Linked DNA regions of Astyanax mexicanus. The main gene of each other region encodes a partner of the protein of the gene in region 3 in a complex. Links are inferred from orthologs where the notes say so. Each region holds a gene or a part of one and is shown on either strand. Other genes may lie near its edges. The genes, in order: exosc6, exosc1 and exosc8.

Region 1 (5,976 bases), on a different chromosome or scaffold from region 3:
TATTTCCATTATTAATGCCTCTCCGTTATTGTTACCCACAATAACAATGATATTATGATACTGTGATTCTTTGCAGTACTTTACAGTATCTGTGTTTCTGAAGAGGATAAAATTCTCCTAAATAATCAAATACAAGCAATTACGCATTTACTGGTGTTTAAATTTCACACAATTTAACAACCAATATTCTTCACCGCAGTAAAAATTAAAATGTATTATAGTAGATCTAAAATGAATCTGTCACACAATCTGAATTAACTCTGAGCTGATGTTTTTGTAGCTCAGAATAGATTGTTTCCATCAATAAACGTATATTTTATTATATTAATTATGTATTGCAAACAATATTTTATCCAACCCCTAGTGCCCAACTCTTGCTGTAGTCCCACCAGAACCTGAACCAGAACCAGAACCTGAACCAGAACCTGAACCAGAACCTTGGTTAAACTGGTTCAGATAAATCAGGAAAAATAATTTCAAACTTAAATGTCACATTATAGAATATGCTTAATGATGTCACTATTGCACATGTACACATTATAATAACAGTGCTAAACAGCCGTAAGAGAAACCTGTGGTGTAAGAAAATAAGACTGTCTGAATACTTTTACATATTTTTTAAGTATTTTATTGTTACACAGCTTTTACATAAATGTAAAAACTATTTTCTAGTGATATAAAATACAAACATAATAAACCATTTTTGATTCAAACTATTTTTGATTCGGTGCATCCTCACTATTCTCACACAGAAAACTCGTATCTCCAAAACAACTTTCAGTGGAAGGGAATGTTTAAAAAAAAAAAAAAAAACATTTTATTTAAAGTTATTTGAAGCATTTCTATTGGTTCACAGTGTGAACAACAAGAATTGCTGCCGCCAGTCATGTGATGCATAAACCGGTTCCGACCCTGCAGTGTAAACAGGTTTATTATGGTATATACGAATTATTTCTCAGGGGGCGGGGCTTTTCTCTTCACGGCCCGCAGGATGGCCTGCTGCACCACCGGATACAGTTTATGGCAGCTCTCCATGCACGTGCGCACGGCGGCGCTCAGCGTGTCCGCGCGCAGCTCCCCGTCCGCGTGCAGTCCCGACACCTGGTTCAGGTTGGGCAGGAGCGCGAGCGTCACGCCGCCCCGGTTCTCTTCGTAGCCCGCGAGCCAGTTGCCCCGCTCCTCCGCGAGGTCCGGGTCCACCAGGCTCGCGCCGCCGTCCTGCCGCAGCGCGGAGCCCAGGACCACGTCGTACATCTCGATACCGGCGTCCGCGAGCGCCATGGAGGCGCAGGTCACCGCGTGCGCCAGAACCGAGCCGTCATTCTCCAGAACCATCACGTTCACCTCGATCTGCGCGCGCGGGTACCGGTGCAGGCACACGGCGGGGTGCAGGCTCTCGGAGAGCGCGAGCGACAGGTCCCGCTCCCCGCTGCCCTGGATCCACGCGCCGCGCTTCCCGCAGGAGAACGGCGCGAGCCGCAGGTCGCACAGCAGGCGGCCGCTCCGCACCCCGGCCTCGTCCCGCCGCTCCGGCTCGCGCGGCCCGTAAACCGAGCACAGGATCTTAGTGTTCCCCGCTTCCAGGTAGCTCGAGCCCTTCGCCTGGCTCACGAGACCGCAGCGCGCGAACACCGGCCGCACCTCTCCGTTCCCGCGGCCCGCGCGCGGCTCCCGGGGCTCCGCGGTCTGCGCGGCGGGGGGCAGAAACAGCAGCGGGCACTGAGACTCCTCCGGTCCGCGCACGCGCTTCGTATCTACCGGCATTCTGGCTATTACACGGGGCTCACGCGCTCCTCCACCGCGTGCGCGACTACAAACAAACCCACGCAACACCGCTCTTCTTCTTCTGGGTTTGTTTTTTGGCAGACTGCAATCTCAGCGCATTACCGCCACCTGCTGGACTGAGGTGTAATCTCACCGGGATACCGGTCAATTCTCCCGTTTTGACCGGAAAACTACCGTATTTTACCCCTCTCTCCCCCCGTCCTCCCGGATAATGTTTTCCGTAAATTTTCTGTATTATATTTAAAAAAAACAAAAAAAACATTTATATGCCCCTCCAAACTGAAATGTCACTAATCTCGCGAGATTAGTGCCGACAGCGGAAACAACCCTGAAACAACCAATCAGAGAGATGGGAAGGAGAGAAAGCATTCCTGCCAAAAAACACCACACTATGAAAATACATACTCATACATACTGTACATATATAAAATATTATTCATACTCCTTCTGACTGCAGAAAATACTATTAATCACAAAAAATAATATTCAACTAAAAAGACTGTATATTAATATATATAATAATATTATTAGACATATTATATCATTGTACTATGATATTGAACCTTGGTTGGGCTGGTATGCCCAATAATAAAATAAAATAATAAAAACATACTAAAGTCTTCTTGCAAGTGTTTTTTATAAACTCTATGATTACTTTGACTGTAGTCTCTACCACTTAAACTCTAAGTTGTTATTGTAGTTCTTTCTTATCCTCTTGAGACGTTCTCTCTCTCTTTAGAGTAATTCCTGTATGTAAACAGCGCACGCTTTACGGTTTCAGTTTATTATAGTATGAACACCGGTCTCATGTTCTCCTAATCTTATCCTGGAGTGAACTGAATTAGCTGACTGTTATTACTCTTGTTTACTGTATAAATACCTGCTTTTCTCATCCTTATCCCATTTGTCTCGCCAGATTTTATGATCCCCGTGTTTGATTATTGCTTTAATTCTAATTTGCTGGAACCTGTACTTCTGCTTGTTTTGATTTCTGAGTTTCATTTTCCACTCGTCTGTTTTCTCATTTCCCTGTGTGCTGGAGCCCAGGTGAACTGTAAATTTAAAATTTGTTGACTTATTCTATAAATCATCTGGACTGTGCGTCAGGTTAAAAAAATTAACTAAACAAACAAAAACAAACAAAAAATAATAAAAATAACAATAGTAATAATAATAACAATAATAATGATAATATTAAAAAAAACGAATCCTGTCAATTAGTCCCGCATTTTTCAAGAAACTACTCAAGTATTTCAAACAGACCTGTATTTAACTTTATTACCTTCAGACTGAACTGAGTGAGTTTTTCCTCTGGTAGTGCAGTCAGTCTCTGTGTTTTCTATGTTGTGTTTAGAACACTGATAAACACACGTCCCGTCAGTATGATTATTTATATAATATAATGCGCTGTAGAGTCCTGTGTGTTCTGTAGGCGCTTTCTATTAAATACATCCTCCACCTGCTCACTCTGTCCTGTAACCCCGCCCCTTCCAACTTCATTCTCAATACTGTAGTAATAATAATAAATGTCCTGTATTCCGTGTTCTACAGGTGTTGCCATTTTCAACTGACTGTAAATTTGTATTAAAACTACTTTTCCAGCAAATTCCAGAAATAAACAAATAAAATGACCTGTATATTATATTTATATTTTTATATTTTTACACAGTAAAAGAGAGCTGACTTGTTGGTGAGCTGATGCTGGTTTCCTCACACAGAACTAAATGTACTGTTTTAATTGATCTTAAAGCTTTTAAACTCCAGTATAATAAACTCTATTAATCTCGTAAGCAGTGCTGCACTTCTATTATCTGATCTGTTTACTTTATATTAAAATACTTAATTTTATTTTATAAAATTAAAGGAATGTCCTGGACAAGCAGTTAATTACTATGTTTTATCATTTAGCTCCATTTAGCCACATTCCACATAGCCACAATAATTTTCCAAAGCAAATCAGAATATATTTACAGTGGCTTCCAAAAGTATTCATACCCTTTAAACTTTTCCACATTTTCTCTCCTTAAATACACAAACTTGATAAACCATCATAAAGTAATGCATACATGTGAAGTGAAATGAAAATGATACATGTTTTTTTGAATGTTTTATCAAATAAAAATCTAAAAGGGTGGCGTGCAAAAGTATTCATCCCCCTATATCAATACTTAGTAGAGACACTTTTCTCTGAAGTTACAGCTTCAGGTTTTTCAGGGTTTAGTCTCTACCAGCTTTAATCATCTAGAGACTGTAGACTTTAACTGGATCATTCTAACACATGAATATTCTCTGATTCTCTGATATGCTGCAACTGCAAACAGCAATTCTTGTTTCTTTTAACAATGTTTTTCTTCTTCCACTCTTCCATAAAGATCAGATTTGTGGAGAGCAGGACTTATAGTTGTTCTGTGAACAGATTCTCCTGATCTGTGGATCTCTGCAGCTCCTCCAGAGTGATCATGGGTCTCGGCTGCTTCTCTGATCAGTGCTCTCCTTGCTGGATCTGTTAGTTTGGGTGGATGGTTGGTTCATGTCTTTGTAGGTTTGTTGAAACAGTAGTAGAATATATGTTTTTGGGAGATGTTTTTATAATCTAACTCTGCTTTAAACTTCTTCTCCAAAACTTTATCTCTGATCTGTCTGCTGAGTTCTTCCTTCTTGGTCTTCATGATGCTGTTTGTTCACTAGTGTTCACTAATAAACCACTGAGCTCTTCACAGAACAGCTGTATTTATACTGAGACTAAATTACACACAGCTGGATTATTAACTCTATTAATATTATTTATTATCTATTATTAGTTGGAGTTGGACAGTAAAGACAGTTACTCCAATAAAAGCAGGATAAACTGTGTTTAATAGTCTCGGTTTTAGAAGAGACAGGGAGTGATCACCCCTATAGTGCACTATAGTGTACACTCTGGCACGTGGTCAGTTAGTTGACGCGGGTGTGTTATAGTGTCAGGTGACCCCGGGCACGGAGCGGGCACGTGCTCACAGGTCTGGCATCTTCAAAGCGCGCGCCGGGCTCACATACCTGTGCTACATGTCTCACACAGGTGAGACATTTTAAAGTGGGTCTTAATGGAGCGCGCGCCGGGCTCGCGCCGCTTATCCATCAGACTCAGACCCGCCGTGTCAGATCTCCGTTATCTCCACGGAGGAAGAGGAGCCCCGTGCGCGCGTGCTGTCTGTCCTTCCCCGTGTGCGCGTGCTGTCCGTTCTGCTCCGTGCGCGCGTGCTGTCCGTCCTGCTCCGTGCGCGTGCGGTTTGGAGCGCGAGTCACTATGGAGGAACTGGCGCGCGAGAGCATCCGCAGCCTGAGCGTGCTGGCCAAACCCGCGCGCGGTACGGAGGCTCCGCGGCTCGGTTCGTTCGGCGCCGTGTTCATCATGCTGAAATCCGCGCTCGGAGCCGGACTGCTCAACTTCCCCTGGGCCTTTCAGAGAGCGGGGGGCATCAACCGAGCTATCACCGTGGAACTGGTAATCACACAAACACACACTATACACACTATACACACACACACACACAATCCAGACTGAACTTCTCCAATGCAGGAGACACACGCACACACACACACACACACACTATACACACTATACACACAAACACACATATATGTGCATATACACATACACAAACATAAACATAATGGGAATATTTAAATTATACCACCATTAGTACCGACCCTGCGATGTGATTGGCTAAGAGCCGTTCTATGAGTACCGTTATCAGCCGGTAATGCACTGTAACCGAAGCTCTTCATGTATTACTCCGCCACATACAGGTAACCTAGCAGCGATGCAGCGCTTACAAACCAAACAGCACAGCTACAAACAGAGCAGCAATGGAACTATTTTAACTGGTGGAGTTTTTTTTATAACCAAACAAATCCTATTATCCAATAGCAATGCAATGTTTAATATTTATAGGAAAAACAGAAACATACATGGAGTTGGGGTTGATTTATCTTTTAATGAATTTAAAGTCTTATGTTTGTAAATTCAGGATATGATAGATAAATCTTCAGATAGGAAAAGAGGATTATATTTTCTTGGTAATATAAACATTTACTGGTTGTTTTAATGTCTTGTCCAACTAAAAATAGGTGGTTTAACACATTAAAACAATGTGACATAAAACAAGCGGTAAATGTACAAACAGTCTACATGTCTTTATCATTACAGGA
Region 2 (7,929 bases), on a different chromosome or scaffold from region 3:
TTTAACTCCATTCACTCCTATTCATTTTGGTCTCGCTTGCGGGCTCCCTCTAGCACTTCGCAGTGATATTCCGGTGTGTGTGAGTGTTATTTGTGTGTGTGTGTGTGTGTGTTTGTGTATCTCCAGCAAGTCGGTGAGTGACCGGCGGCTCGTGCGCTCCTCCTGCCCGCGCTCTGAGAGCAGTATGTCCGCCTACAGGCTGGTTCTGATCCGGCACGGGGAGAGCTGCTGGAACCGGGAGAACCGATTCTGCGGCTGGTTCGATGCGGATCTCAGCGATACCGGAGCGGAGGAAGCCCGCAGAGGAGGAGAGGCGCTCAGAGGTGTGTGTACAGTGTGTGTGTGTGTGTGTGTGTGTGTGTGTGTACAGTGTGTGTGTGTACTTGTGGATGGATTAAAGATGAGGTTTGAAGCTTAGAGGCAGCTTACTAGGGACACTTTATAGCATAGCCGCCATTTATCTATGTGTCATGTTTTTGCTAATTCTATGCTAAAAAAAAAACCTCAGTCCTGTTACTTTCATTTCTGTTACTTAAAACATAACAAGTAACAGGAGTGAGTTATCGTAACAGGAGTGAGTGTCAGTAACAGGATTAAGTTCCAATATCATGAGTGAGTACAAGTAACAACAATGAGTGCCATTAACTAGAATGAGTGCCAGTAACATGAATGAGTACCTGTAACAGAAAATAAGTGCCATTAACAGGAGTGAGTTCCATTAACAGGACTGAGTGCCTGTAGCAGGAGTGAATTCCAGTGACATGAGTGAGTGCCGGTAACAGGAATGAGTGGCAGTAACAGAAGTGAGTTCCAGTAACCAGAGTGAGTTCCAGCTACAGGACCGAGTTCCAGTTACAGGAATGAGTGCCAGTAACAGGAATGAAGTTCCAGTAACAGGAGTGATTTTTATGTCATAAGCATATATTATTTGGACATTAAAGAAAATCACACTTTCGTGTAAGGTAAAAAAAGGATCCAGCTAAAATAGATCCAGATACTGTTCAGATATTAAATGCATGTTAATGTCCATGTGTAAACAGGTAGAAAATTAAGGCAATACATATTAACTTTCATTCTTTTCCATGATTTCATTCCTTCCATCCTTTTATCTCTCTCTCTCTCTCTCTCTCTTTCTCTCTCTCTCTCTGCTGTAGAGGCGGGGTATGAGTTTGATGTGTGCTACACGTCGGTACTGAAGCGTGCTATCCGGACTCTGTGGCTGGTTCTGGAGAGTATAGATCAGATGTGGCTTCCTGTGCACCGGACCTGGCGTCTGAACGAGCGGCACTACGGCGGACTAACTGGACTGAACAAGGCCGAGACTGCAGCCAAGCACGGAGAGGAGCAGGTGAAGATCTGGAGACGCTCGTACGACACGCCTCCTCCGCCCATGGAGTCCGACCACGACTTCTACTCCACCATCAGCCAGGTACAGCCTGTACAAAAATGCCTTAGAAGTATGCATTAGAATTAAATCTATTTCCACTGATCTCCATTAAGAGATAAGAATGTTTTTTCCTTCTCCTGTAAATTTTATGTTTTTAAGATTTTTACATTTTTGCATGATGAAAACAATAAATCAGAAGTTGTTAGTTTTCCATAAAATGATTTCCATCTTCTCTGGGTTCTGTGGTTACAGGACCGCCGGTACACCGACCTGACAGAGGACCAGCTGCCGGCGTGTGAGAGCCTGAAGGACACAATCGCTCGAGCCCTGCCGTTCTGGAACGAGGAGATAGTACCGCAGATCAAAGACGGGAAGAGGGTTCTGATCGCTGCCCACGGCAACAGTCTCCGTGGCATCGTGAAGCACCTGGAGGGTGAGACATTAAAGCAGATACATGTATATGATATGAACATACTCACACTCACAGTTTTTTATTTCTAAAAAAAGCTTAAAATATACACTTGTTGTTGATTCTTCACAAAAAAATTACAGTTTCATATCTTTGTGTTTGAAGCCTGAAATGTGGCAAATGGTTGAAAAGTACAAGGGGGCCGAATACTTTTGCAAGGCTGTAGGTATTGGGACGCCTGCTCATTCACAGTGTCTCATTCTGAAATCAGGGGTATTAAAACGAGTTTATCTTGATTTTGTTGGAGTAACTGTCTCTATTGTCCAGAGAAGACTTTCTAATAGATGTTGACATTGGCATCTAATAGCATTGCTGTGAGGATTTGATTGCATTAAGCAATTTGGACATTTTCTGATCTGGATCTGATTGTTTCAGGAATGTCGGAGGAGGCCATCATGGAGCTGAACCTCCCCACCGGAATCCCCATCCTGTACGAACTGGACAAGAACCTGAAACCAGTGAAGCCCATGCAGTTCCTGGGGGACGAGGAGACCGTCCGCAAGGCCATGGAGGCCGTCGCTGCTCAGGGCAAGGCCAAGAAATAGAGAGAGAGAAAGAGAGAGAGAGAGAGAGAGAGAGAGAGAGAGAGAGAGAGAGAGAGAGAGAAAGAGAATAAATAGTTCACTTTATTTATCAGCTTCTAGATTTTACACTCTATCAGCACATGCCCACTATTGTGAACAATACTGTTATAATAATTAAAAAACACAGTCTTAGGGCCCTATCATACACCCTATGCAAGGCACATGGTGATGCTTATTGCTATCTTACTCCCCATCAACTCTTAATGAGCTTCTGGTGTATCTTCACAGCGTGGATGTGCAGGTCAGTATCCTTTGCTGAGACTCACAAAAGCTCTGCGCTGTTGAGATACGAACGCGCCAAAGTCAGAGCTCACCCGACTCTTAAAGGGAATGATTACTGACACACTGATTAGAGGGAGAACATTCTAGAATAGCATTTATTTGGTTGGAGAATATTCCATAACAGTGTTAATAAGAGAAAGTCATTTTAGAGCATCATTAATTTGGAAGGAAAATAGATGTTTGTTGGGTTGGCGGGTGTTGGGTTGCCAATTGTTGTAATGCCATTTGTTGGGTTGCTGTATGTGTTGGGTTGGTATGTATTGGGGTGGCATGTTTTGGGTTGTCGTGTGTTGGGTTGGGTTGCCGTGCTTTGGATTGGCATGTGTTGGGATGACGTATGTTGGGTTGCCATTTGTTGGATTGGCATGTGTTGGGATGACGTATGTTGGGTTGCCATTTGTTGGATTGGCATGTGTTGGGATAGTGTATGTTGGGTTGCCATTTGTTGGATTGCCACTTGTTGGGTTGCCGTATGTGTTGGGTTGCCGTGTGTTGGTTTGGCATGTGTTGGGTTGGTGTGTGTTGGATTGGCGTGCATTGGGTTGGCGTGCGTTGGGTTGGCGTGTGTTGGGTTGGCGTTTGTTGGTTTGCTGATTGTGTTGAGTTGCCATTTGTTGGATTGCCACTTGTTGGGTTGCTGTATGTGTCGGATTGCCGAGTGTTGGTTTGGCATGTGTTGGGTTGGTGTGCGCTGGATTGGCCTGCATTGGGTTGGCGTGTGTTGGTTTGCTGATTGTTGAGTTGCCATTTGTTGGGTTGTAATAAATATATTACAACCCATATTTGAGTGTGCTCAGTGTGAGGACTCTGCAGGATTATTCCAGCACTGCTGCCACTGTATGAACATTAGAGTGAAAGGCACTTGGCATTGCTCTTTAGTGGCAGCTTTAGTGCCAGCCGTATCCAGGCAACGGCATTCATAGAGACGGGGCAGCGGATAAATTAGTGATTTTTATTTTTTACAGGAAGGAGACTAAATGCACGGCGTTCCAAATCACTCCATGACTCACGCTGAGCTCCGGTGTCCTACATGCCTGGACGCCCACAGTACAGCACTTAAAATACCCCCCATACACACACACACACACACACACGCACACACACACACAGCCGGAGAGATCACATGCGTTTTAGAGCTTCTGCACTGCTCGAGTCCACTAAAGATAATAAGTCTGTGTGTTCCTAATGTTCTGAGGTATTATAACATGAAACGGCTGTTTCTCCCTGTCTGATTGTAAACCTAATTTCTATTTAAAGAAAAATGAGTTGATAATATATTTATTATATGCTTGACTGAATGGCACTGTCCTCTAGTTTGTGTGCAATCACTAATAAATGTTACAAAAATCTAAAAACAATTGCACTGTTTTTTCTTTAAAGTTGGTGTCAAATATGTGTATATACAGGTGCATCTAAAAAAATAGAATATCATTGAAAATTTACTTTATTTCAGTAACTTAGTTGAAAATGTGAAACTCATATATTATATATAATGTATTACACACAGAGTGATCTATTTTAAGCGTTGATGTATTTTATTGTTGACCATTATAGCTTACAGCCAATTAAAACCCATATATCTATATAATATATGAGTTTTAAACTGAATTACTGAAATAAATAAAATAATAAAATAATGGATTTGATTTGACATTAATTATTTTACAGATATTTCATTTAAAATACAATACAGTTTGTTTGCATATGTTGCAATTATACAAGGAACAACCTTCCTCTCAAACTTCCATTTTAATGTAAAAAATAATTTAAAGGATATTATAATATTGTTTTTCAGATTAATAGAATTTAGATCCCGAATATGTAAAACATTAAATTAAATTTAATTAAATTATGCATTCTAAGGTCTGCACTTTTATAGCTTGCAACATCCTAAATATATAATTTTTTAAATCTACTCTATTTTATATTCTTTGATTTAGTATATGTTTAATTTATTATCTCCAAATATAAATATAAAAATATGTATTTTTGTCATAATATATGTATATATTAAATTAAATTAATTTACACTTATTATGTTTTGTATAATTATTATTTTTATATATATATTTTTTAATTTGATTAATTAATATATTTGTTAAAAAAAAAAACATGCACTTTTAAAAGTGAGGTCACGACTTCCAGATCTTCCACAACAAAGATGGCGCCTGGACATGACTTAGCTCACTTCCGCGTAAGCGGCCAATCACAGGCCGCGCTCTCTGCTACTACCAACCAATCAGCACGCTCCCTTCTCTTCTTGAAAACATGTCGCCCATGAAGCTGTGTGTTCCAGGTAGGCGAGTCTTTTTAGCGCGTTTAGCGCTTTATTTAGCGATAAATCAGATTATTAGCGCTTAGTTTAAAAGAGGGGGGATGCTGTGCGGGCTGTGGGCGGGGTGTGGGGTAAATATTAGGTTTTAATAAAGTTTTAAAGTGGTTTTAACGGGGAATAGGAGTGAAAACGTGCTCGATGTGTAGCAACACATGACTGCAGAACATTTAAATATGGGTTATAATTTATATATGGACTATTTTACAGCTAATAACGGGGTTTTATTGGTTATTAATAACATCAGTAGTGCAAATAACAGTAATAAGTAATAGTACCAGCAGCAGCAATAACAGTAGTACGGATAGAAGCAACCGCAGCAGTATTATTATTTTAATAATACGTCTATATGTATACAGCTCTGGAAAATATTAAGAGATCACTTCAGTTTCTGAATCAGTTTCTCAGTTTTGCTATTTATAGGTTTGTGTTTGAGTAAAAAAAAAACGTTGTTTTATTCTATAAACTACAGATAACATTTCTCCCAAATTCCGAATAAATTTATTGTCATTTAGAGCATAAATTTGCAGAAAATGGGAAATGGCTGAAATAACAAAATAGATCCAACGAAAACAAGTTCATATTCATAAAGTTTTAAGAGTTCAGAAATCAATATTTGGTGGAATAACCCTGGTTTTTAATCACAGTTTTTTTCATGCATCTTGGCATCATGTTCTCCTCCACCAGTCTTACACACTGCTTTTTGATAACTTTATGCTATTCTCTCCTGTTGCAAAAATTCAAGCAGTTCAGTTTGGTTTGATGGTTTGTGATCATCCATCTTCCTCTTGATTATATTCCAGAGGTTTTCAGTTTGGTCAAATCAAAGAAATTCATAATTGATAATGCTTAAAATAATAATAACAGCAGTAATAAGTAAAGTAGTAATAATAATAATAGGTATATAGTGCAGTATGAGTGTGTGTGTGTGTGTTGTTGACTGACTTTTACTCACTCTAACTCGTTTGGTGAGCCTGGCCCACCCCTCAGGCAAGCAGCTGCCAAACATTCCACTTTGACTTTCAGCTCCAGCTCTCTCTCCCTCGTGTTTCCCTCGTGTAAAAGCTGCTGCTGGATGTGTTTTAACATGATCACAGGCTTCACACACTTCCAGTGCCATTCTCAGGTTAACACGTTTATTAATAAGACCTGTAGTAACACTGCAGTGCCGCTGTTAGATTTGTGTTGGTTTAAGAACTCCAGCAGCACTGCTGCACTGCCTGATCCACTCACTGTACCAGCAGCACAATACACACTAACACTTTATACACCACCACCATGCTAATCAGTGCTCATCACTGCATAACTGTAAATATAGCTATATGTCCAAATATTTGTGGACACACGTTCTAATAAATGCATTTATTAGCTAGGCCAGTTTTCCCACTCATTCAGCTGTTGATGACACAACACAAAAAAGGGTAAAGACTAGCTCATGCCTCGTCTGATACATGTGAAGTCAGCCACCGCCTCTTTTCAGAGGAAAGCGCAGCTAGAGAAGACCTTCTACTATATTTTAGATTAAAGCATTGCTGTGAGGCTTGGATTGCATTGAGCCCCACAATCCAAGAGTTAGTGAGGAGGTCAGGATTTTGGGTAATTCATCTCAAAAGGATAAGTATTGGGTGGAGCTCCATCATTCCAGACTCCCAGTGCTGGTTTATGGCATGGTGCCAGTAGGTTTATGTATATGTTCTCCAGAGAGTCCTATTCTTTTTTTTTTTTATATAATTGATTTCTGATTTTTTTTTCCGTTTTCTCCCAATTTGGTCATCCAATAGTCCTATTGCATGGATTTCCAATGGGTGGAACTTTATTAAAGTATCTGAATGCATTTATTTGTATGTATTTGGGTATATAGTTAATTTTAGCTGAAAGCTTTATATATATATATATATATATGTGTGTGTGTGTGTGTGTGTGTGTGTTGCAGGTGAAAGGCTGTGCAGTACGGAGGACTGTATCCCCGGGGCAGGAACGTATCTGAGGCATGGCTACATCTTCGCCTCGCTCGCTGGATACGTGCTCAGGAGGAACGAGGGCGAGGAGGTGAGGAACCTGCAGGGATTAACGCTGGTTGCGCAATCGAGGCATGCGCCTAATATTACTGTAGCACAGTGGAGATGTATGCAAATCGGTATTGCGAAATGGTTTGGACATATTTCTGTAGGTTTGATCTCAGTCACACACCCAACCACACACACACACACACCTGTTTTAAGTATGTGGTGTGGGATGGTATGTCTGTACGTCTTCAAAATGACAGATTGCTATTAAAATATGATATTGTTAAAATGCCTTTAAACAGGCCCTAGAGTGTTTTAATCTTAGTATAGATGAATGAGAGTTCAGTACATGAAAGTGAGAAAACAGGCTGATTCCAGAATCCCAAAACTGTTACATCACAGTCCTGACAGTGTAAAAAAAAAAAAAGACTACGGATGTGTTCTTACTAGACACTCTTCTAAAGGGTCTAAAGTTCTGCCACTATGATCGGGAGATTGCTGGTTTGAATCCCGGTCATACAGCTTGCCATCAAGCTCTGCCATCAGCTGCCAGAGCCCTGAGAGAGCACAATTGGCCTTGCTCTCTCTCTGGGTGGGTACAGTAGATGGCGCTTATTCCCCTCATCACTCCAAAAGGGTGATGTCGATCAGCACAAGGCGTCTGTGAGCTGATGTATCAGAACCGAGACGCTGCGCTTTTTCTTTCAAAAAGAGTCAGAGTCTGAATTTACATACTAGTCTTTGCCCTCTTGGTTATGAGGCATCACTAGTGATGTATATCTGGCTTATCTAAATTTGGGAGAAAATTAAGAAAATAATTATAAATAAATGAGAAAATGCCCTATAAAAAGGCTCTCTGAGGCTACTTT
Region 3 (7,333 bases):
ATATTTTCTTTAAGTTTTTCTTTAAGGAGATGAGAATGTCCACATTCTCTGGAGAAAGAGCTGCTCTTTGAGCTACAGTGTGCTACACCGTTTGTGGGAGGGATCGTTGATCCTCTTTTTGACTTCGATGTGCGAGACCATGACATAATTTCGATCGATTTCAATGAAATATTGAAATCGTGACACCCCTAAAAAAATACAGATAAGAAAGATATAGTAATAAACAGCTTACATCTGGACTCCTCGTTGTAGGACGGCACTACTACAGACAGCTCTCTTGAATGGGGGTCAAACAGACTAGGGAATGGCTCCTTGTTTCCTGAAGCTGTCAGAAAATATTTCTCCTGCTCTGCACGCGTCTGGTCCACCATGCTGGCTGTAACGTGGGCAATTACAATAACCTAAAGAAGAGGAGACAAATGAGATAGCTGAACCCAGCAGACACACTTCAGCAGAGCTTCAGCAAAGTATTACAAGATCTATATTAAGCTGCAGGGCTGGAGTTGAATAAAACTCCCCTAATAATAACCAGAAATGGGTGGAGTAGCCAGCGTATTGTTCCTTCAGTAATATAATGACAGGTGTTGAGTTCCCAACAGAACTGCAGTTAAAACAGCTTCATGAAAAATAAGTATACCATGGTTTCTTCTGAAATCTAGGGTAGTTAAATCTGAGATGACCCTGCTTTTGCTGGAATAACTGTCTCTAAACTCCAGATAATGCTTTTCATTTGATTTTAAGAAACCGCAGAAAAGATTTTATTTAGTCACAAAAGCATCATTAAATACAGTATGTATTTAATTTAATTACCCCACCTCATTTCACTCTTTTGCACATCTGTGTCAGCAAGGGTGGCAGCCTAAAGCAGCTGCATATATTTACTAGAAAGGGCGTCTCAAACATTTGGACATACAGATCCCTGTGTACAGCTCCCAAATCTTCTGGATTAATACAAAAGCCACTGTCTGACGAATTCCTGGAGGATTATAAAGGATTTCACCAAACCAAGACGCTGCCAGTAGTAGAAAACATGAAAACCAGGAACAGCCAGTTCTGAGGCGGCTTCTTCCCCCAGGCCATCAGGCTGCTGAACAGCCTGTAATAAAGTGTACCAGTCCACAGCCTATCACAGCTCATCTCACCTCTCTCACTGCTGCTCACCACAGACTCACTCTACACCCTGCACTTTACCTACAGTCCCACCAATACTTCTCCATCATCCAGAATACATACATCTGGAAATTTTTATCATGTTTTACTACACCCAGTAAATTTTTCACCAGAGTAATTGCATCAGCAGAGGCAGATTTTGCTATTGAAGTGCAAACAAGACTTTTTCACACTCTGTAATGAATGGATAGTTCGGTCTGTATTCTTTAAGTTCGATATGATTATAGTGGATACGATAAGAAGAAATATATCAATATATTGTCTAGCTTTACACTAAAAATAGAGGATCCTTCATCAATACAGTAAGGTGAGATTCATTCTCCTGAGATACAGCTCTGGCAAAAATTAAGAGAGCACTCCAGTTTCTGAATCAATTTCTCTGATTTTGCTATTTATAGGTTTATGTTTGAGTAAAATGAACATTGTTGTTTTATTCTATAAACTACAGACAACATTTCTCCCAAATTCCAAATAAAAATATTCTCATTTAGAGCACTTATTTACAGAAAATGAGAAATGACTGAAAAAACAAAAAAAAGATGCAGAACTTTCAGACCTCAAATAATGCAAAGAAAACAAGTTCATATTCATAAAGTTTTAAGAGTTCAGATTTTTTTTTTTTTTGTGGAAAACCCCTAGTTTCTTATAACAGTTTTCATGCATCTTGGCATCATGTTCTCATCCTCCACCAGTCTTACACACTGCTTTTGGATAACTTTATGCTGCTTTACTCCTGGTGCAAAATTCAAACAAGCAGTTCAGTTTGGTGGTTTGATGGTTTGTGATCATCCATCTTCCTCTTGATTATATTCCAGAGGAATATATTTCAATTTGTTAATATTAAAGAAAATCAATTCTAAGTGGTCTCTTAATTTTTTCCTGAGGTTATATCAGTCTAAATTGACTAAAAACAACAACTTTACAACGGGGATTGAGAAAAAACATAACTTTAATTGTAGAAAGATTTGTTTAGATCAGGACATTGACTAAATATAAATAAATATCTCAGCCAGAGTAAAAAATAGAGATCAGTGATCCAGGCAGAGGAGCTCCAGGCCCTCAGATTCTGTAAAATTTTGACAGAAACACCAAAACATTAAACTCACCAGGAGTAAGAGGAGCAGGAGCAGAGCTGCAGCGACCTGGAGGATCTGACACACACACTGATCCATCATCATCACCATCATCCTCTTCCTCTCACAGCCCAGAGACACCCCGCAACTACAGCCCGCTCATAGGGGGGAGTGAACAGGAGTTATAACCGGTATTAAAACGCCATGGCTGAAGTTCTTCCACCTCACAGTGAAACAGCACTGCGGAAATGACCCGCCGCTGCTCCACATCATCATTACAGCACACCGCCACAGCTGCTGCACCCCGAGCATGCGCACTTCACACCGCCATGATACAGGAGAAATCACCCCCCACCGATAGAGGGAGCCCGCGAGCGAGTCCTCAATGACTGGGAGTGAGTGAAGCTAAAAGGATAAAAACTAGCTGTATCTGTGTATCAGTGTCTAAAACTTGTTTAAAAATTATAACAATGTAATTCTCATAAAGAAATTTAAACTTAACTGTATAATAATAATTATTATTATTATTATTATTATTATTTTTACAGCAATTACTGTAGAAGTGTTCTTTAAGCACCACACTTATGTAACGTTAGACGTCCTAAAGTATGCATCATTTCTTTGTACTTAAAAGTAGTTTATTCTAATTTTACAACTCAAGTTCTGAAAGTAAATGTATTATATGTTATGCAGCTATTTATTACAGAAAGCAGTGAAAAGGTTTATTATCATATTGTAGGCAGTAGGGGTGGGCAATATTATATCATATACAATATATCGTGACACAGAAATATCATGATATTAAAAATGCATATCGTGATAATAGGGCTGTTCTGTCTTAAAAGTAGTCTATTATTTACTGTGAAGCTTTAGGTGTATTTATTGTATAATTGTTTTAGTTTGCAGTTTATATGCATGCACTAAATATTCTGCAATATTTTTGCTGCATTATATTATTTTATGCTATATTATTTATTTTGCCACATTATGATTATACTGTTATACTATTATACTATATTCCTGAAATGAATTAATTATTTTAGTTTTCCTATATCGCCAAGTATATCGTTATCGCAAAAATACCCTGAAATATCGTGATATTATTTTAGAGCCATATCACCCACCCCTAGTAGGCAGAAAGCACGAGGAAGCAGAGTAAAAGGCAGAACCGGAGCATCGAAGTCTTCTGATATGAAGATGACACTGCCATCTCCTCTTGTCGTTTATCACTGTCTCTTTGCTGTGAAGATGCTTGAAGTTAAGGAAGAAGACACCGCAGACACTGCCTTACGTGTAATAGACAATATCAACAATATCTTCAAGGCGGTCCAAGGCTAGGCCAGCCCTGAAGAGAGAAGTTGTTCAATTCTGATGTTCCTGCTCTCTCTTCTCCCCAGTTTTGGGGACCTGCTTAAATAGGGTATTATAGTATACATCTGTAAACACTGTAAACATGCTCTAGACATACACAGCCATAGGAGGAGTCTACCTAGAAGAATGGTCACATACTTTAGTGAAGAGAAATAAAGAGAATATATATATATATAAGCTGAAAATGTAGAGGTAACGCAGTTGAACACAATAGACAGTGACACCAAGTTGATAAAGTGCATAAAGTGAGGATAACTGAAAAAGCAAATAGACAGTTGTATAATTACTTTAGCAGTGCAAAAGATACGTAAACAGTAGATGAGTGAACTAGTGAATAAACAAGTTCTGCAAAATAGGGTAGAACTATGAAAATAGTTTAAATGGTTTTGTGTTAAGGAAATGAGAAACGTGAACAGTATTAAAAGAAAAACACTGATAAACTCTGATAAATTCTGATTTTGCTCAGCTGCTCCATATGAACACATTAATTTTGGAATCACTCTAGAGGGCCCTGTGGAAGAGACTCTGAAGTGGCCCCTCTCCTCTCTACAGGCTCTCTGATTACAGCACACGCCTCCAGACCGGCCCCGGTCCGGGGGAGGATTCTCAGCGCGCCCCCTGCTGGACTGGAAGACCCGCGTCCCCTTCTTCTGACGTCATCCGCCCTCTTCACGTGGTGTTTTCCTCAGCATCATGGCGGCGGGGTTCAAGTAAGTGGAGCGGACTGGAACTTACAGTTATATCAGCAGCAGCGGCGTGCTTTATTTATATAGTTATATCAGCAGAGTGCTGAATTTCTGTTAATATTACAGCTTAGGCTAAATATATAGAGAGTATATCTGGAGTATCACAGCTGACTGATCTCTCTTAATGTTGTACACGAGCTAATCTGTCCCTGTACTTGTTATTGTACTGCTCTTTTACTAAATAAACCAGATAGTGTTAATTATAAAACTGTCTAAATAAATTTAATGTGTTTTATCAGAACTGCAGAGCCTCTGGAGTATCACAGGAGCTTCTTGGTAAGTTTAACTACTTTATTTACTTCAGTACATCTACATGTACTCTACAAGACATGATCCAGTGTAGACACGTCCAGTTTTCTTTTTAAATCAGAGGTTATTAATAAAGATCTGTCCACAGTTTGCTGTACTAAACCGACTCTACTCTACTAAAAAAGGCCTGAGGTTGCAGTAAACAGGAACATAGCTGTGAGGAATTGATTGCATTCAGACATAACAATGTGCAGCATGTGAGACGTTTCAGGAACAGATTCGTTCACATTACAGTCAATATATCTCAGCCTCCCCCAGACTAAACTTCAGTTTGTTCTGGCCAAATCGTTATGCCTTAAGTGGTGTACATCACTATGATCACCCTGACCTAGGATGATGACTGGTCTTAACTTTTTTGAGGAGACTGCTCTAATCTTAAAACAGATGCCATATATCTCCTATACCATTTATATCTCAGATAGCCCATACAATACTGATTTAAATGTTTACTTTTCATTCAGAGAAGAGGTCTTGTCAGACCATAAAGTTTTAACCATGGTTCCATATGAGTCACTCAGAAGAATTAACCAAATATCATAAAATAAAACTGGAAAACATAGTGATCATGTTAGATATTGATTAAGATAAAATACTGATTTTATCAGTACTTTACTTTTGGAGATGTGGTGTATTTCGCTGTAGATTCACACAGTCCTGCTTCTCTTCATATAGAAAGAAAACTGCAGGCCAGATGGCAGAGAACTGGGAGAGTTCAGACCCACAACGTTAAATATAGGTAAGCTGTTGCGCATTGTTATAAATGTATGACTTGTATTCTGTTTTGGTGTATAAAGTGGATTGCAAAAGTATTCATACCCCTTGAACTTTTTTACATTTCACCGTAAAACTACACACTTTTTTTTATTAAGATTTTAAATGATAGACTGAAGAGAGACTATAAAGGAGATTCACCTTCCAGCAAGACAATGACCCCAAACATACAGCCAGAGCTACAGTGGAATTATTTAAATCAAAGAATATTCATGTGTTAGAATGGCCCAGTCAAAGTCCTGACCTAAATACTGCTGTTCACAAACGCTTTTCATCCAACCTGACTGATCTTCAGCTGTTTTACAAAGAAAAATGGGTAAAAATCTCAGTCTCTAGATGTGCAAAGCTCAAAGCTGGTCAAGACATGCCCAAAAGAAAGGTGGTGGCTCCACTAAGTATTGATAGGGGGGGCTGAATACTTGCATGTCACTTTTTTGCAGATGTCTTTTTGATTAAAATTTTAAAAACTATGTATTAATTTTATTACACTTCAGTTATTTGCTACTGTGTGGTTCAATCACTTAAAACCTCAATAATATACATTTATGTGTGAAAAGGTTGTGATGAATGTAAGATCTTAACTTTACATCCTGAAAATCCTTTATATGCAGGTTCGATTGGAACAGCTGATGGTTCAGCAATGGTGAAAATTGGAAACACTACAGTGATCTGTGGCATAAAAGCAGTAAGCAGCATCCCGCACTCCCTCAAATACTCACATATTGATCACAAATAAACATAACAAACACTTCAAAACTTCATGTTTTAAAACAGGAACTAGCCGCGCCGCCCTCAGATGCTCCTGATAAAGGATATATTGGTATGTTTGAGTGAGTTGTTATAATAATTATTAAAGGCAATCGTCTGTGAGGGTAACTGAAGTCTGACTGGCTCTTTCGTGTCTCAGTTCCGAATGTAGACCTGCCTCCACTCTGCTCGTCCAGATTTCGGCCGGGGCCACCAGGAGAGCAGGCGCAGGCCGCCAGCCAGTTCATCGCTGACGTCATTGATGGGTGAGATGAGTTTCTTTGTGTCAGTGACTCTAATTGGGACTTTGTGGTCAGATTCTTAAAGCTTTGTGAAGGTTAAAAACTATACTAATGGTTTTATGACACCATTTTCTCCCCAATTTACGCGGCCAATTACCCAACCCACTCATTAGGACTCCCCCCTATCACTAGTGATGACCCAACACACCAGGAGGGTGAAGACTAACACATGCTTCCTCTGATACATGTGAAGTCAGACACCGCTTCTTTTCGAGCTGCTGCTGATGATGTAGCATTAACGAGCAGCATCACAGCGCTAACACTCGGAGGAAAGCACAGCGACTCGGATCTGATACATCAGCTCACAGACGCCCTGTGCTGCAGACATCACCCTAGGAGTGATGTGGGGAGAGAGCGCCATCTACTGTACTGTACCCACCCGGAGGGAGCAGGGCCAATTGTGCTCCCTCTCAGCGCCGGCAGCTTGATGGTAAAGCTGCATGAGTGGGGGTTCGAACCCACGACCTCCCGCTCATAGTGGCAGCGCTTTAGACCGCTGGACCACTTGGCACCCCTTCCCAGTGAGTTTTGGAGAAAGTTTTTGGATGCAAAACACTAAAACTTAAAGGGAAGGTGGAACATCAGCAGTGAAGTCATTACCAATTAACACAGAGGTTCACTTACTTTTTCTAGCCTGCACAGTGGATGTTTACTCTGTGTGCTAAGGCTACGTTCACATTATAAGCCACACTGCTGAAATCAGATTTTCTGCTCAGACTGAATTTGGCTCTTTTGACAGTTCACATTCACTGTAAATGTAAGTGATCTGTATCTGTGTGTAATGTGAACGAATCTGTTCCTGAAACACTGTCTCACATGCTGCACATTAATACCTGTATTAACG

Evidence for each region.
Region 1: exosc8 (region 3) and exosc6 share a complex: the UniProt entries of both Homo sapiens proteins name them as parts of the RNA exosome core complex. The link is inferred for Astyanax mexicanus from reciprocal best matches to the Homo sapiens genes EXOSC8 and EXOSC6.
Region 2: exosc8 (region 3) and exosc1 share a complex: the UniProt entries of both Homo sapiens proteins name them as parts of the RNA exosome core complex. The link is inferred for Astyanax mexicanus from reciprocal best matches to the Homo sapiens genes EXOSC8 and EXOSC1.

Annotation. Positions count from the first base shown.
Region 1 is NW_026040053.1:744,187-750,162, reverse strand, and holds exosc6 (exosome complex component MTR3), read right to left. Parts: upstream 2,020-5,976; 5' UTR 1,765-2,019; coding exon 949-1,764; 3' UTR 613-948; downstream 1-612. Other genes in the region: slc38a8b (putative sodium-coupled neutral amino acid transporter 8), read left to right, coding at 5,072-5,269. UniProt on the Homo sapiens protein: Non-catalytic component of the RNA exosome complex which has 3'->5' exoribonuclease activity and participates in a multitude of cellular RNA processing and degradation events.
Region 2 is NC_064428.1:35,417,290-35,425,218, reverse strand, and holds the start of exosc1 (exosome complex component CSL4), read left to right. Parts: upstream 1-4,918; 5' UTR 4,919-4,990; coding exon 4,991-5,018; intron 5,019-6,987; coding exon 6,988-7,103; intron 7,104-7,929. Other genes in the region: pgam1b (phosphoglycerate mutase 1b), read left to right, coding at 185-323, 1,155-1,429, 1,640-1,820, 2,232-2,401. UniProt on the Homo sapiens protein: Non-catalytic component of the RNA exosome complex which has 3'->5' exoribonuclease activity and participates in a multitude of cellular RNA processing and degradation events.
Region 3 is NC_064427.1:39,561,166-39,568,498, forward strand, and holds the start of exosc8 (exosome complex component RRP43), read left to right. Parts: upstream 1-4,237; 5' UTR 4,238-4,307; coding exon 4,308-4,324; intron 4,325-4,599; coding exon 4,600-4,636; intron 4,637-5,341; coding exon 5,342-5,405; intron 5,406-6,051; coding exon 6,052-6,125; intron 6,126-6,214; coding exon 6,215-6,260; intron 6,261-6,347; coding exon 6,348-6,453; intron 6,454-7,333. Other genes in the region: alg5 (dolichyl-phosphate beta-glucosyltransferase), read right to left, coding at 233-401, 2,277-2,357. UniProt on the Homo sapiens protein: Non-catalytic component of the RNA exosome complex which has 3'->5' exoribonuclease activity and participates in a multitude of cellular RNA processing and degradation events.